Arabidopsis thaliana: one gene and its partner. The protein of the gene in region 1 purifies or fractionates together with the protein of each later gene. This does not show direct contact. Each region holds a gene or a part of one and is shown in the gene's direction. Other genes may lie near its edges.

Region 1 (6,630 bases):
ATCCCACCTGTAAAATTAAGTGACAGTTAGTACAATGGCAGACACAAAACACAACTGAAATATCAACTAGGAAGAGGCTTCACATACGGAGTGGATCCAGTGCACATCTCTACTAACGTACAGCCAAAACTCCATGCATCTGATTCTGGAGATACACCACTTGCATCCTCCCAAAAAAGTTTTTTCACCGGTCCCCAAGCCTCTGGGGCAGTGTAGTGTGGACTGAGTGTTACACAGTCCGTGTATAGAGTGACTTTTGAGGAATCAAACTCTGGTCGAGTTTTCTGGCATGTTGGCTTCTTTAGGATGGGAGCGAGCCCATAATCAGAAACCACAGCATTGCCGCTTGCATCCAAAAGAAGATTGGAAGGTTTTATATTCATACAGATAACACCTGCTGCATGGAGTTCTGCAACCCCTCGAGCAACATCAGCCCCATATCTACAGTTGGTAAAATTTAATATCACAACAAGAGCAATGGAATAATACATATGTTGGTCACTGAAGGAATATTCTAAGTTGTAAACTTAAAACAACATGAGCACGATATGAAAGGAGAATACAAAACACTCATTTACGCATTAGTGCTTACATTTAATAGTCCCAAATGACGCAATTCAGTTAAAAACAGAAAATAGGAGGAAATACAAACAAGTGAATTGAAGGTAATATTAGAACCAGGACAACAAAATAAGGATCATCTTTAGATGATGCGTCCTTTGATAAATTAATGTATAACAATTCGTACAATTTTTTGCATGATTTGATATGTCAGTTCGTTGAAAAATGATTTCTGGTCATATACTTTAGAAGGAAGCATACTAATGTAAAGGGCTTTCTCAAAGATATCTTGCAAACGTAGGTTCAAGGATCCACTACTAAAAAGGAAAGGACTAGTCCAAAAAATGTTTGTCTATTGAGGCATTGACAGATGAAAAGTAGCTGCAGCTGGTAATGACAAAGAGAGATGACAACTACTATAATTCGTGCCTAGCTTTTTAAGAACATCTAAACTAAAGTTATCTTACAAGTTGCCCTTTTGGCAAATGACACCAGGTTTTAGTTGCTTGTTTCACTAGAATCTGAAAAACTGTGCACTTACAATATATATTTCTAATAGCAATCACAAAAAACCAAGTCGGGTCTAGTCCAGTAATTTCTAATTAGGGAACAGGCTATCAAAGTTTGAGACTTTAAGCACAGAAACGATCACAGTAAAAGCCAGATACTAGGCAAAAAAAAAGAATAAGAGAAGCAAAAGAGGAACCTTAGAATCTGCTCCAAAGTAAGTCTGCCTTCATTGCGTTGCATCTCAGACTGAACAGACCCAAAGCACCTGTCCATCAAAAGACAAAGAGATCCATCCATCTTCACAACCCCATGGAAAGTACAAACATTCCTACACCACATGGATGCTCTCCGCAAGCTCTCAAGCTGTCCCTGCATCCACTCAACATCCATGTCCTCCGTCAAAGTCATCTTTTTCACCGCCACACGGTGCTTACACCGTCCACCACCGCCTGCAACAGTTGCATCCCACATCTCCACACCTCCAAAACCACCACTACTACTCTCTTCCCCAATCTGCCTCACCAGCTTCATCTCCGGGTGAGCTCCGACCTCGATCACTGGACCACACAAGCTATTAATCGAGCTTGAGGCATGAAATCCACGAGCGGCACGAGCTCCATCTTCATCACTACCATCTTCTTCATCGTCGTCATCCTCATCATCCGTGTAATCGCAATCGAAGTTAGCGCCGCCGGATGCGGCGTGAATGAGAGCAAGCATAGCGTAGTTCTTCCTGAGACCCTGAACAGAGTTCCCAACAACAGACACGTGGCGACACCGGGGACAAGTGAGGGTTGTGTCGGAAGAAGTAGAGAACATCTTGGAAAGACAATCTTTGCAGAAGCCATGGCCGCATTGAAGCAATAAAGGAACTCTCTCATCTTCATTATACCGCGTGTGGCACACGGAACAACAAGGGACCTTGACTCTCCCAACCATGAGAGCTCCGAAAAGAGAAAGCCCTAAATTAATTTAGGTCGCGAGATCAAAGAGTAAGAAGGGAGTGAAAGACCAATCAATTCAGTAGAGAGAGTTCCTCAGAACATATCTGGGGGGGGGGGGGGGGGAAGGAAACTCAGTAAAGTCGATCCAGATCAAGGAGAGAAGAACAGATCCATGGAGAAGAAAGAAAAAGGTGGAATTTTTGAAAGGTAGATCAAAATTGGCTGGGAAAAATCAGACACGAGCAAGCAAGAATAAAAATTGTAAGAAAAATGTGAAAAAGGTTCTTCTTCAGGGTTTTATATCATCATTTTTATTTTTATTTTCATTTTTTTCCAATTTTATTTGGGGTTGAGTCTCGAGGGCTCTCTGGTTTCGTCGGTTTTGACGGGTGGGTGCCGTCAGCACTTGTGCTCGAACCCGTTTATTGACTCTCCTAATAGTAGTAATCGTCAACCATCAGATTTTATATTTGTTGTCATCAACAACTTAAACCATCAGGAAAAAATAATTGTAATTTTTACTGAGAGTTTTTTTTTTTGGCGAAGTTTTTACCAAGTAGCTTTTGAGCCAAATGCAAAAACAAATAGATTGTTTGATCTTGTAATAGAGTTCACCAAATAATGAGACGATAAATCTGACACCAATACCAAAATGTAAACTCGTTGTTTGTTGCTAAGTAGATTACTCGTGTGAGTGTATAACTCATGGACCTAAAACTTGAAGCTCAATAGAGGCTCAAGCCCAAAAAGATGGTTGTTAAAAATCTCAGGATTGTTGGTGGCTTGGTGTGCTTTTGGTTCATCCAACTTGGGTTTAACATTGTATTTAGTCGCCGTTTAATATCTAACGGTTTCAACTTTATGCACTAAATGATTCTCCATTAACCAAATTATTCCAAAAATACATTATTTATCATCATAAAATGGTACCATCGAACAACAATTCTTCATTTTTTCTTTTTCTCCCGCTTTATACTCTCTTCTCCACCTCTCTAACTGCCCCTTTCCTCAAAACCCTAAGCAAGCTTCTCTCACTCAGCAATGGCACCCATTGATCCACACTCTTTCACCGATTCCTCTCATCCTCTCACCACGCATGTCGCTCTCTCCCTCTACCTCGATTTCAACACCTCCATAATCCATGGCTCCGCTCTCCTCACTCTCTCCTCCGCCTTCTCCGGCGAACTCTCTCTTGATACTCGCTGCATTTCCATTGCTATGGTCCTCGATCCTCTCACTCTCGAGCCTATCCCTTACTCCGTCTCCACCACACCGGATCGAATTCGGGGCACCGAAGTTGTCGTAGTCCTCTCCGGTCAATCTTCACTGCTAATTGTCTACTCCACTTCGCCTTCTGCTTCCGCTCTCCAGTGGCTTTCGCCGCTTCAAACTTTCTCCAAATTGCATCCTTATGTCTACACGCAGTGTCAAGCGATTCACGCCAGATCCATTTTCCCATGCCAGGACACTCCTGCCGCGAGGATCCGTTACGACGTCGTTATGAACATACCGAATTCGCTCTCTGCCGTCATGTCGGCTCGCCACGTCCGTCGTAGGCTTGCGGTTCCTGAGGAGGCTAAACATCTCGAGGCTGGGTCGCTGGGGTCGTCACTGTGGTGTGGTGAGGATAGAGTTGTGGAAGAGTTTGCTATGGAACAGCCTATACCGCCTTATCTATTTGCTTTTGCCGTTGGTGAGTTAGGGTTTCGGGAAGTTGGACCTAGGACTCGGGTATACACAGAATCTGCCGCCATTGAAGTTCTAGATGCGGCTGCTCTGGAGTTTGCAGGAACGGAGGATATGATCAAGCAAGGGGAGAAGCTGTTTGGAGATTACGAGTGGGAGAGATTTGACTTACTGGTGCTGCCTCCGAGTTTTCCTTATGGAGGTATGGAGAATCCAAGAATGGTTTTCCTGACGCCTACTGTTATCAAAGGAGACGCCACTGGAGCTCAAGTTGTAGCTCACGAGCTCGCACATAGCTGGACTGGGAATTTGATCACTAATATCAACAATGAACACTTCTGGTTGAATGAGGTAGCTTTGAATTGTCTTGTGCTTTTGCTTCTTTTAGCTACAAATTAGGATGTGTAACTGTGTGTCCGTTTTTAGAGTTTGCCTTGTTGATGGGAAAGTGTTTATTTCATGTTCATGGCAATAGGGATTTACAACTTACGCAGAGAGGAGAATTGTGGAGGTTGTTCAAGGGGCGGATATAGCTACTTTGAACATTGGCATTGGTTGGAGGGGTTTAACTGATGAAATGGAACGGTTTAAGGACAACTTGGAGTGCACTAAACTGTGGAACAAACAAGAAGGTGTTGATCCAGATGATGTATATTCTCAGGTCCCATATGAAAAAGGATTCCAATTTGTGTTGCGAATTGAACGCCAGGTTAGTTGAATTGCCCTCTTCGCTTAGGTGTTTTGTTATGTAATGTTTACAATAATGGTCATCTATTTACTGGAAAACTTTCAGATTGGAAGAACTGCTTTTGACGAATTCCTCAAGAAATACATTGCTACTTTCAAGTTCAAGTCAATCGATACAAACACATTTCTTGAATTCCTGAAAGCAAACATCCCTGGCATAGAGAAAGAGATCAATCTACAGCTGTGGACTGAGGGCGTTGGTATACCAGAGGATGCATATGAACCAGTCTCAACCATTTACACAAAGATCATATCCCTGGCGAAAGAGTTTAAGGAAGGAAAGATGCCAAGTGAGGATGATGTTGCTGAGTGGAACGGACAGGAATGGGAGCTGTACTTGGAGAATCTTCCTAAATCATGTGAACCTTCTCAGGTACTCTTTACTCCTTTCTTCCTCTAAGTTAATGGGAGCTGTACTTGGAGCTGTACTTGCTGAGTGAATCTTTATTTCTTCCTCTAAGATAATGGGAAATGGCTTGACTTAGGTTGAACTACTCAATAAGCTTACATAAGGAGGAGAAAAAGGCCTAACTAACTGTCAGTTAGGTTAGCTCAATAGTTACTCTTGGATTAATGTGGGGCTAGTGAATAATGATTGTGGAAAAACCCTCTTGGCTTTGGGAGAGTTCATGATTGTGGAAAGTGTATTGGCTTTGCAAGAGTTAGGATCTTATCTTGTTTGTTAATGACAATGCTAGTCAACAAAGGAAGGATTGGTGATCAGGTTCAAACCTATGGCTAACACCCACTTTGCTCATTGATGAATCAGGTCATGGCCTTGGACAAGCGGTACAGACTGGCAGAATCGAAAGACTATGAAGTGAAGGTCTCGTTTCTGCAACTTGCAGTCACATCCAAGTGCAGAGAGTACCATGGGGAAGTGAAGAAAACACTAAAAGAGGTAGGAAGGATGAAGTACCTGCGTCCACTCTTCACTGCTCTTGCACAATCTGGTGGAACAGAAGAGAAGCAGCTGGCAAAACAGGTGTTTGCAGAAGCTCGAGAAACTTATCACCCCATAGCTCAGGGAGTTGTTGAATCTATCCTCTCTAAGTACATCTAAACAAGACCGTTATGATAGCTTGAGAGCACTCCGAAAAACAACATTTCAATAAAACTCAGTCACTGTAATAACAATTGGTGCTTGAGAGAGTCATAAACAAAAAATTGAATTGCCTTTTGTTGCGTACATTACATTCTCCAAAAGATTAGTACAAGCTTAACTATGCATTACTCTCATCTTCCAACTTCTTAATGTAAGCCATAAGCACCATTATAACCTCTCTTGCTGGTGCTTGTAAAGTAGTGACGAGATTAATAGCCGGAGATTGCAGAGCACCGAGCATCTTAGCGTAGACCTCAGCACGAGTGGGCATGGTCTCGAGGACTTTGAAATTGTCAGGAGCGTAGAACTTACCTTCGAAGACAGCGCCGGCAAAGTCATTGTTTTCAAGCTTGCGTTCCTTCTGGAAGCTCCGGTAGGGTTTGATAGCAGAAGGGATTTCATCGGTCTGGACGAAAAGCCAAGCGTTCATGCCTTTCATACAAGGCTTGAGAGCTTCCCATTTGGTGCCTTCAATGGCTTTGAAGACCAAAGTGTTCTTGGCGACGATGAGCTTTGTAGTGTCGGGGAGAGTTCTCCGGAGGTCTTGAAACTGCTTGACGGTGAGGCCTTTGTAGTTGATGGCGGCGAGGAGATGGCAGTTCTCCAAGTGAGACTTGACGGCTTCGACAGTCTCTTCCTTCTTGTTACGAGACACCGCGGATCTGATGACCGGGAGGCGAGGGTAATTTGGGGAATTCGAGGTTTTGGGTGTGAGAGTTGAGATTCGCTGGTGACAGAGAGGAGACAAGGAAGAAGAGAAGGAGAGAAGAGCCACTTCCATTTTTTTGCTCAGAAGATGAGGAGACTGTTTCTAGCTGTGTGGAGGAAGAAGATAGATGAACAACAACACAATCCTCCACTAAGCAATTTTATTTTTTTATTTTTCTTAAATGGAAAATAAAATTTATGGATAAAAAAAGGGTTAATAGACGGAATTAGTAACTCCGTCTAATTTAACGCATTGTGTCTTTTAGTCTCTGCTTCTGAATTCTGAACGCAATCCATTGGTAAACTAATCAAATAACTAGACCCAAAATAATTCTATTTTCTTTCTCGGAATTATGGAAGATGTCTCGT
Region 2 (6,855 bases), 6.5 Mb from region 1:
TATTAGATGATGGTAATTTGGTCATTTTATTCAAAGGAAAGGGTATTTTTAAAAATGGACAACATAAAAGGGTATTGTTGCAAAAGGGTAGTAAAAAAATAGTAGTTTTGCAAATCTCCCTAGTTTAAAACTAGGTAAATGAATTTTTGCATGAGTAATTTAGTAAATTAACAACTACTAAAATATAGAAATATCTTTAAAAATGCAAATATATTGTATGTTTAATTGAAAAATGCATATATGTAAACTAAATTATTTTCGTAAGATATTATTAGATATTTTCGAATATGGCAATCTAATAACAAATTATCATTTCGTTTAGATTTTAAAATCTTCCTTAACAAAACTATGCTAATTAAATCTCATTTGTATACATGACAAAAAAGATTTTTCAATTATGATTTTTCAGATATGAAAAAACATTTATTATATTTGTCGTATATAATCTAAACGAAATACTTCTATCATTTAAAATACAGCTTATTCAAAAACTTATTTTTTGGATTCTAAATATCTAGAAAATATTTCCAGGGTATATTAAAATATTTTAACATTTAATTAGAGTTTCAATGATATAAAGTTTTAGAATATATTTTTTTGTTTTTAAAAACGGGTAGTTTCATTATTTTAAATATATAATTAACCCAAATTTTTAATATATTTTTTAAAAAGAATTATAATAATTAATATATCTGATTGTTTTATTTAGAGCCAGATAAATTATTCAATTTCAAATCAAATAAATTATTTTATTTTGTATCAAATTGTTACAAGATTTTGGAATACACATTCTTCTAGAATTGATTATTTTCTTTTTGAAATAACATTAAAATAAATTTAAATACCAATGTTGTAATTTTAATGCAAATTTAAGGAACTATTGAATTTAGATCAAGATGACTAATTTAACTAATTACAAGCTATTTTTAAATTTACACAGTTTTTGCAATTAGTTCAAACTAATTCTCTAAATTTATTCACATTAAACTATCTCTTAGTTTTATGATATTGTTAAGATTTGTTTCTTGAAGTTAAGAAAGTTTATCAAATAAATTCAAATATATATATTTGATTAATTATATATTATATCAACAAGAGGATTTCTGGATTTGAGATAATATATCAAGTCGGTGTTTATTTATTTATATTAAATAGTAAATATAATTTTGTTTTCATATATGTGCACGTACACAAGAACAAATGTATGAGTATGACATATTATAGTTGATAGATCATTTATTTTTTCAATTTGTTTTCATGTTTTAATTTATGGTATGTTTACAAATTTTAACAAAGCATATGTTAATCCCCAAAAGTTACAGCTGTATCTGGTATTGTGTTTAAAGATAAGTAAAAATGAACTCGGAACATGATATTTAATGTAATATAACGAGAATAGGAATGACGAAAAAGGAACGACATAGAAGGAGCCAACACGGGATAAAAACATAGCTTTTAGATTACAACAAGTTACAATTTAAGCAAATTAACGTTTGCAATCAAATATGTAACATGTGTTTTCAATTTATACAGCATAAAAATGCTCAAAATAATAAATGTTATTATAGTATGCTTTATAATAGTTAAAATTTAAAAATAAACAAATGTAATTTAATATTTATGAACAAAATATTAAACAATAAGAAGAAAGAAGTCAATTAATTTTGTAATATTTTTATTATATCATATCATATAAAAATATACATGAATTATATTTGTGTTTGTCCCAAACAGGATATAGAGAATTTTTGCTTCCATCACGTTCTGTTTCTAATCGGAATACAAATTTTTTCTCATATTAGAAATGCATTCTCTTATGAGAAATAAATTGGAGAACGAGTAAGATATAATGGAACATGATAAAATTGAATGAGAATTACGCCTATCTCTAAATATTTATATTTCTCGCAAACGTATTTAATCATTTTAATGGTTTTATATACGGTTTGATAGTTTACAAGTTTAATAAAAATCTACCTGACCATTAACTCGAATCAGTTTGATCTCGGTTCGACCGTTTGATTGTTATGAACTTTAAAATACTACTAAAATCATTATTATTTCAAATATTTCAACCAACTAATATAGTTTAGGTTATATATATACTATAACTATATAAATAATTTTTAACATCAATCTAACTTATATTATATTTTAATTTAAGATTTTTTTTTCTAATTTACTCTTCAGTTTCAAACTCCAAAAATGGACTTATGGTTGCTCTTATGTCATAAACAAACATAAATAATATTTTATATTTTTATGTGTACATTATAATTATTCAATACAGTATATATCACTAAAATAACAAAATAATTATATATTTAATAAAAATTTATTACAACACATTTCTTAATATATGAAGATGTACTATTATTTGCAAATACAAAATATGTTAAATAGTGTTTTAGTTAATTAGAAAATAACAAAAATTAAAGTAATTTTTCTCAAAATAATAATTATTTAAAGATTAATTGCTTAATTATTTGAATTTTATAAGAATTTCCTTTTAATGTGTATTATATATATGTATGAATAAGACTAATTGAAAAATCTGTAATAATCTAGTAAAATTTGGACAATTATTTAAATGGATTAGAATCACAACATGACGGTTTCGTTAATAACACGCCAATATAAATATTTTATTAAAAAAACTTCTCAATTAATATATAGAATATACATATATTTATTATTTACAAATATTTTTATATATTGAAGCTAGAAAATAAAAAAATTATGAAATTGTTTGGTGCACCAATAAAGAAAATATTTAGTTTTTTTTTTTTTCTAAACTAAAACATTTCTTATTATCTATCTAAATACGATTCAACAAATAGTAAAAATAATATGCATAATATAAATCATCAAACCTAATAAAAAGTAATAAATCTTCTATAAAATCTCCTATTTTCTAAAAAACTCTCTACAAAAGAAGTATTAATTTTTTTTTTCGAAGGATTTTATTAGTTATAAAATAAATTTAACAGAAAGAGGCACAAATACCAATAGGAGTTGGAAAACTAAAACAACGAGTGGTGTTGCTCTCTCCATCTTCCTCTTCATCTTCTTCTGTTCTCTCTCTATAAATACAAGTTTACTCTTCCTCTTCCTCAAATCTCTGACTCTTCTCTGCATTATCTCTTCGATCTCTCCAACTCTCCAAAACCTTCCTCAGGTAAAAGATCCAATCTTCCTTACAATTCCACTAATCTAGGGTTTTAAAATCCCAGATTCCTGAATCAAAACTTCTCTGAGATCCGAATTTCGCAATTCTGTGTTTTTGGCTAATTTACGCCTCGCAATTTTGTGTTTTTCGCTAACTTACGCCGAATCCAATGCATCCTCTGTCAAAACTCTCTAAATCCCAAATCTTTTTACAGAAATTTATCACAAATTAGGATTCCACAGTGATTTCTAGCTTTCGCATGAGAGATCTTATTGTGTTTAACATATTTCTTTGCAATTTTGTGTGTTTTTGGCTAACTTAAGCGTCGCAATTTTGTGTGTTTTCACTAACTTACACCGAATCCAATGCATTCTCTGTCAAAACTCTCTAAATCCCAAATCTTTTTACAGAAATTAATCACAAATTAGGATTCTACAGTGATTTCTAGCTTTTGCATGAGAGATCTTATTGTGTTTAACAGATTTGTTTTGCAATTTTGTGTGTTTTTGGCTAACTTACGCCTCGCAGTTTTGTGTTTTTCGCTAACTTACGCCGGAATCCAATGCATCAATAATCTTACCTCTGTCAAAACTCTCTAAATCCCAAATCTTTTTTATAGAAATTTATCACAAATTAGGACTCTACAGTGATGTCTAGCTTTTGCATGAGAGATCTTATTGTTTTTAACAGATTTGTTTTGTTAATGTAGAATGGGAACTACCAATGGAACAGACTATGGAGCATACACATACAAGGAGCTAGAAAGAGAGCAATATTGGCCATCTGAGAATCTCAAGATATCAATAACAGGAGCTGGAGGTTTCATTGCATCTCACATTGCTCGTCGTTTGAAGCACGAAGGTCATTACGTGATTGCTTCTGACTGGAAAAAGAATGAACACATGACTGAAGACATGTTCTGTGATGAGTTCCATCTTGTTGATCTTAGGGTTATGGAGAATTGTCTCAAAGTTACTGAAGGAGTTGATCATGTTTTTAACTTAGCTGCTGATATGGGTGGTATGGGTTTTATCCAGAGTAATCACTCTGTGATTATGTATAATAATACTATGATTAGTTTCAATATGATTGAGGCTGCTAGGATCAATGGGATTAAGAGGTTAGTTAGATTTTGTTTTCTTCGGTTTTCGCAGTTTACGGTTTCTTAAAACAAGTTAAAAAGATTGGATTTTTTGTTTGCTTTAGGTTCTTTTATGCTTCGAGTGCTTGTATCTATCCAGAGTTTAAGCAGTTGGAGACTACTAATGTGAGCTTGAAGGAGTCAGATGCTTGGCCTGCAGAGGTTTGTGATTATTTTTTATATGTTCTTGCTAAAGATTTATGAGTCTTTTCTTATGTGATGTTTTGATGCTGATATAGCCTCAAGATGCTTATGGTTTGGAGAAGCTTGCTACGGAGGAGTTGTGTAAGCATTACAACAAAGATTTTGGTATTGAGTGTCGAATTGGAAGGTTCCATAACATTTATGGTCCTTTTGGAACATGGAAAGGTAGTATACAGATAAACAGTTTCCGTACTTTGTGTGAATGATTAGTTGTTTACTATTGGGATTAATATTTGCTTGGATCAACTTAGGTGGAAGGGAGAAGGCTCCAGCTGCTTTCTGTAGGAAGGCTCAGACTTCCACTGATAGGTTTGAGATGTGGGGAGATGGGCTTCAGACCCGTTCTTTTACCTTTATCGATGAGTGTGTTGAAGGTGTACTCAGGTGAGGGTATCTCCTGATGTTGATGAAGTTGTATGTTAGACGTAATTGGCTGATATTTTCGTCATTTTTGTTTTATAGGTTGACAAAATCAGATTTCCGTGAGCCGGTGAACATCGGAAGCGATGAGATGGTGAGCATGAATGAGATGGCTGAGATGGTTCTCAGCTTTGAGGAAAAGAAGCTTCCAATTCACCACATTCCTGGCCCGGAAGGTGTTCGTGGTCGTAACTCAGACAACAATCTGATCAAAGAAAAGCTTGGTTGGGCTCCTAATATGAGATTGAAGGTACCAACATTATTTACTTAAGTAGCTCAAAGACAAGATAATAATCTAATTCTTTTATTACTGATATTGTTTTGACCATAATCGTTAAACAGGAGGGGCTTAGAATAACCTACTTCTGGATAAAGGAACAGATCGAGAAAGAGAAAGCAAAGGGAAGCGATGTGTCGCTTTACGGGTCATCAAAGGTGGTTGGAACTCAAGCACCGGTTCAGCTAGGCTCACTCCGCGCGGCTGATGGAAAAGAGTGAAGTTCACCAAAGTATAAGTCAAGCTCAAATATGGCCTTTTAAGTTCAGCAAAATGTTTAGATATATTTTTAGGTAGCTTCCTATTAAAAAAGCAATAATAAGTGTTTTGGATTTTGGTTCCTTCTATTCTGCTAATCCTTGTTTATGTTTAGTTGAAAAAGTTTGCTTGCATTGTTAAGTCTGTTATCATATTATTGTGGTCCTTTCATTCACAGTATGTATGTTTATCATCATAGTCAAGTTGATGTCGTGGTCCTCTCACGGACCAGTACAAGTAAGTGGCTTGTGTTTTTTCTTGCATCTTATCATCTATTCACACATCTCTAGAGGTTAGGGATCACTCACGGTGACTCACCATTCTTTCTCTTCCATCCACTTCTTTATCCCATTCCTCGGTCAAAAATGTCACACGTAATAAATCATAAGGTTTTAAGTTTATATATTGCTTTTTTTATGCAACTCTCCCGATCAGCAAAATATCTAAAATTTGAGATTTTTATCCATGTTCTAAGATTTGGTCTTAGACTCGAGATGATCCGAAAAATAACGTATTTACTATTTTAAATTTTGAATATACATTTTATCAAAAAACAAATATGAGATAAGGACGATATTATTATAACATAACATATAATGTTTTTTTATTATTTTAAATAATATCAAAGGAAATAAAGCTTAAACTTAATCCAAAACTAAGAAAAAAACCACTAAATCAAAAGGAAAAGCATAGTAAAATCTCAAAACAATTAAGCAACTTTCGGCTCAATTGTTAGCTTCTTTGAATATATATGTTATCAGTGTTTTTTCAAAAATCTTTGACGTTAGCATCATACTACAAATATTCATTTATGCATCTAAAATAAGACAATCGATATATTTCAAATCATCAACTCAACAATCACCCAATTTTTTGTTGTGGTTTTGCTCTTGCTCTCACTCTTCTTCGTGTCGCTTCTCAAATGAGCCCAAATCACCTTTTATATCATATGCAAAAGCAAATGAAGCATTTAACTCAACCCAAATTTAACTTGGGTTAACTAAAATTTGATCATCAAGTTCATCTTCACACTTCCCTAAAAGCCTAAACTATATTGATCATCAAGTTCATCATCTTTGTCCGATTTCTCCAGATTTTTAGAGATGAATTAGTTTCCACCAACACCTCACTTTACTCTCCTTTATTGGGCTAAGTTAGATTATATGGGCTTTGTGAGTTTGTATATTAACATGTATAGTCGGTTAGGTTTATCTCGACAATCTCCTCTCTATATATACTTTGTACACATGTTTATGATCAATAAGAAGAATATATTCTCTAAATCTACATCCTTCCACAACACTCTCAGACATCTCTCTTTTGGACAAGATTTTGCGACATTGACGATAACCATATTTCTTTCCTCATAGGTTAGCCCACACTTGC

What was found.
Region 2: the proteins of AT5G13520 (region 1) and GME fractionate together in Arabidopsis thaliana (co-fractionation; one large-scale study listed by BioGRID). This does not show direct contact.

What each region holds. Positions count from the first base shown.
Region 1 is NC_003076.8:4,340,998-4,347,627, reverse strand, and holds AT5G13520 (peptidase M1 family protein), read left to right. Parts: upstream 1-2,835; 5' UTR 2,836-3,056; coding exon 3,057-4,052; intron 4,053-4,176; coding exon 4,177-4,410; intron 4,411-4,494; coding exon 4,495-4,821; intron 4,822-5,217; coding exon 5,218-5,511; 3' UTR 5,512-5,671; downstream 5,672-6,630. Other genes in the region: KEG (protein kinases;ubiquitin-protein ligase), read right to left, coding at 1-7, 88-441, 1,268-2,010; EMB3136 (Ribosomal protein L10 family protein), read right to left, coding at 5,672-6,334. UniProt on the Arabidopsis thaliana protein: Aminopeptidase that preferentially cleaves di- and tripeptides. Also has low epoxide hydrolase activity (in vitro).
Region 2 is NC_003076.8:10,861,049-10,867,903, reverse strand, and holds GME (GDP-D-mannose 3',5'-epimerase), read left to right. Parts: upstream 1-2,957; 5' UTR 2,958-3,178; intron 3,179-3,859; exon of another isoform or gene 3,860-3,878; 5' UTR 3,879-3,879; coding exon 3,880-4,289; intron 4,290-4,375; coding exon 4,376-4,472; intron 4,473-4,549; coding exon 4,550-4,679; intron 4,680-4,765; coding exon 4,766-4,898; intron 4,899-4,976; coding exon 4,977-5,184; intron 5,185-5,276; coding exon 5,277-5,432; 3' UTR 5,433-5,888; downstream 5,889-6,855. UniProt on the Arabidopsis thaliana protein: Catalyzes a reversible epimerization of GDP-D-mannose that precedes the committed step in the biosynthesis of vitamin C (L-ascorbate), resulting in the hydrolysis of the highly energetic glycosyl-pyrophosphoryl linkage.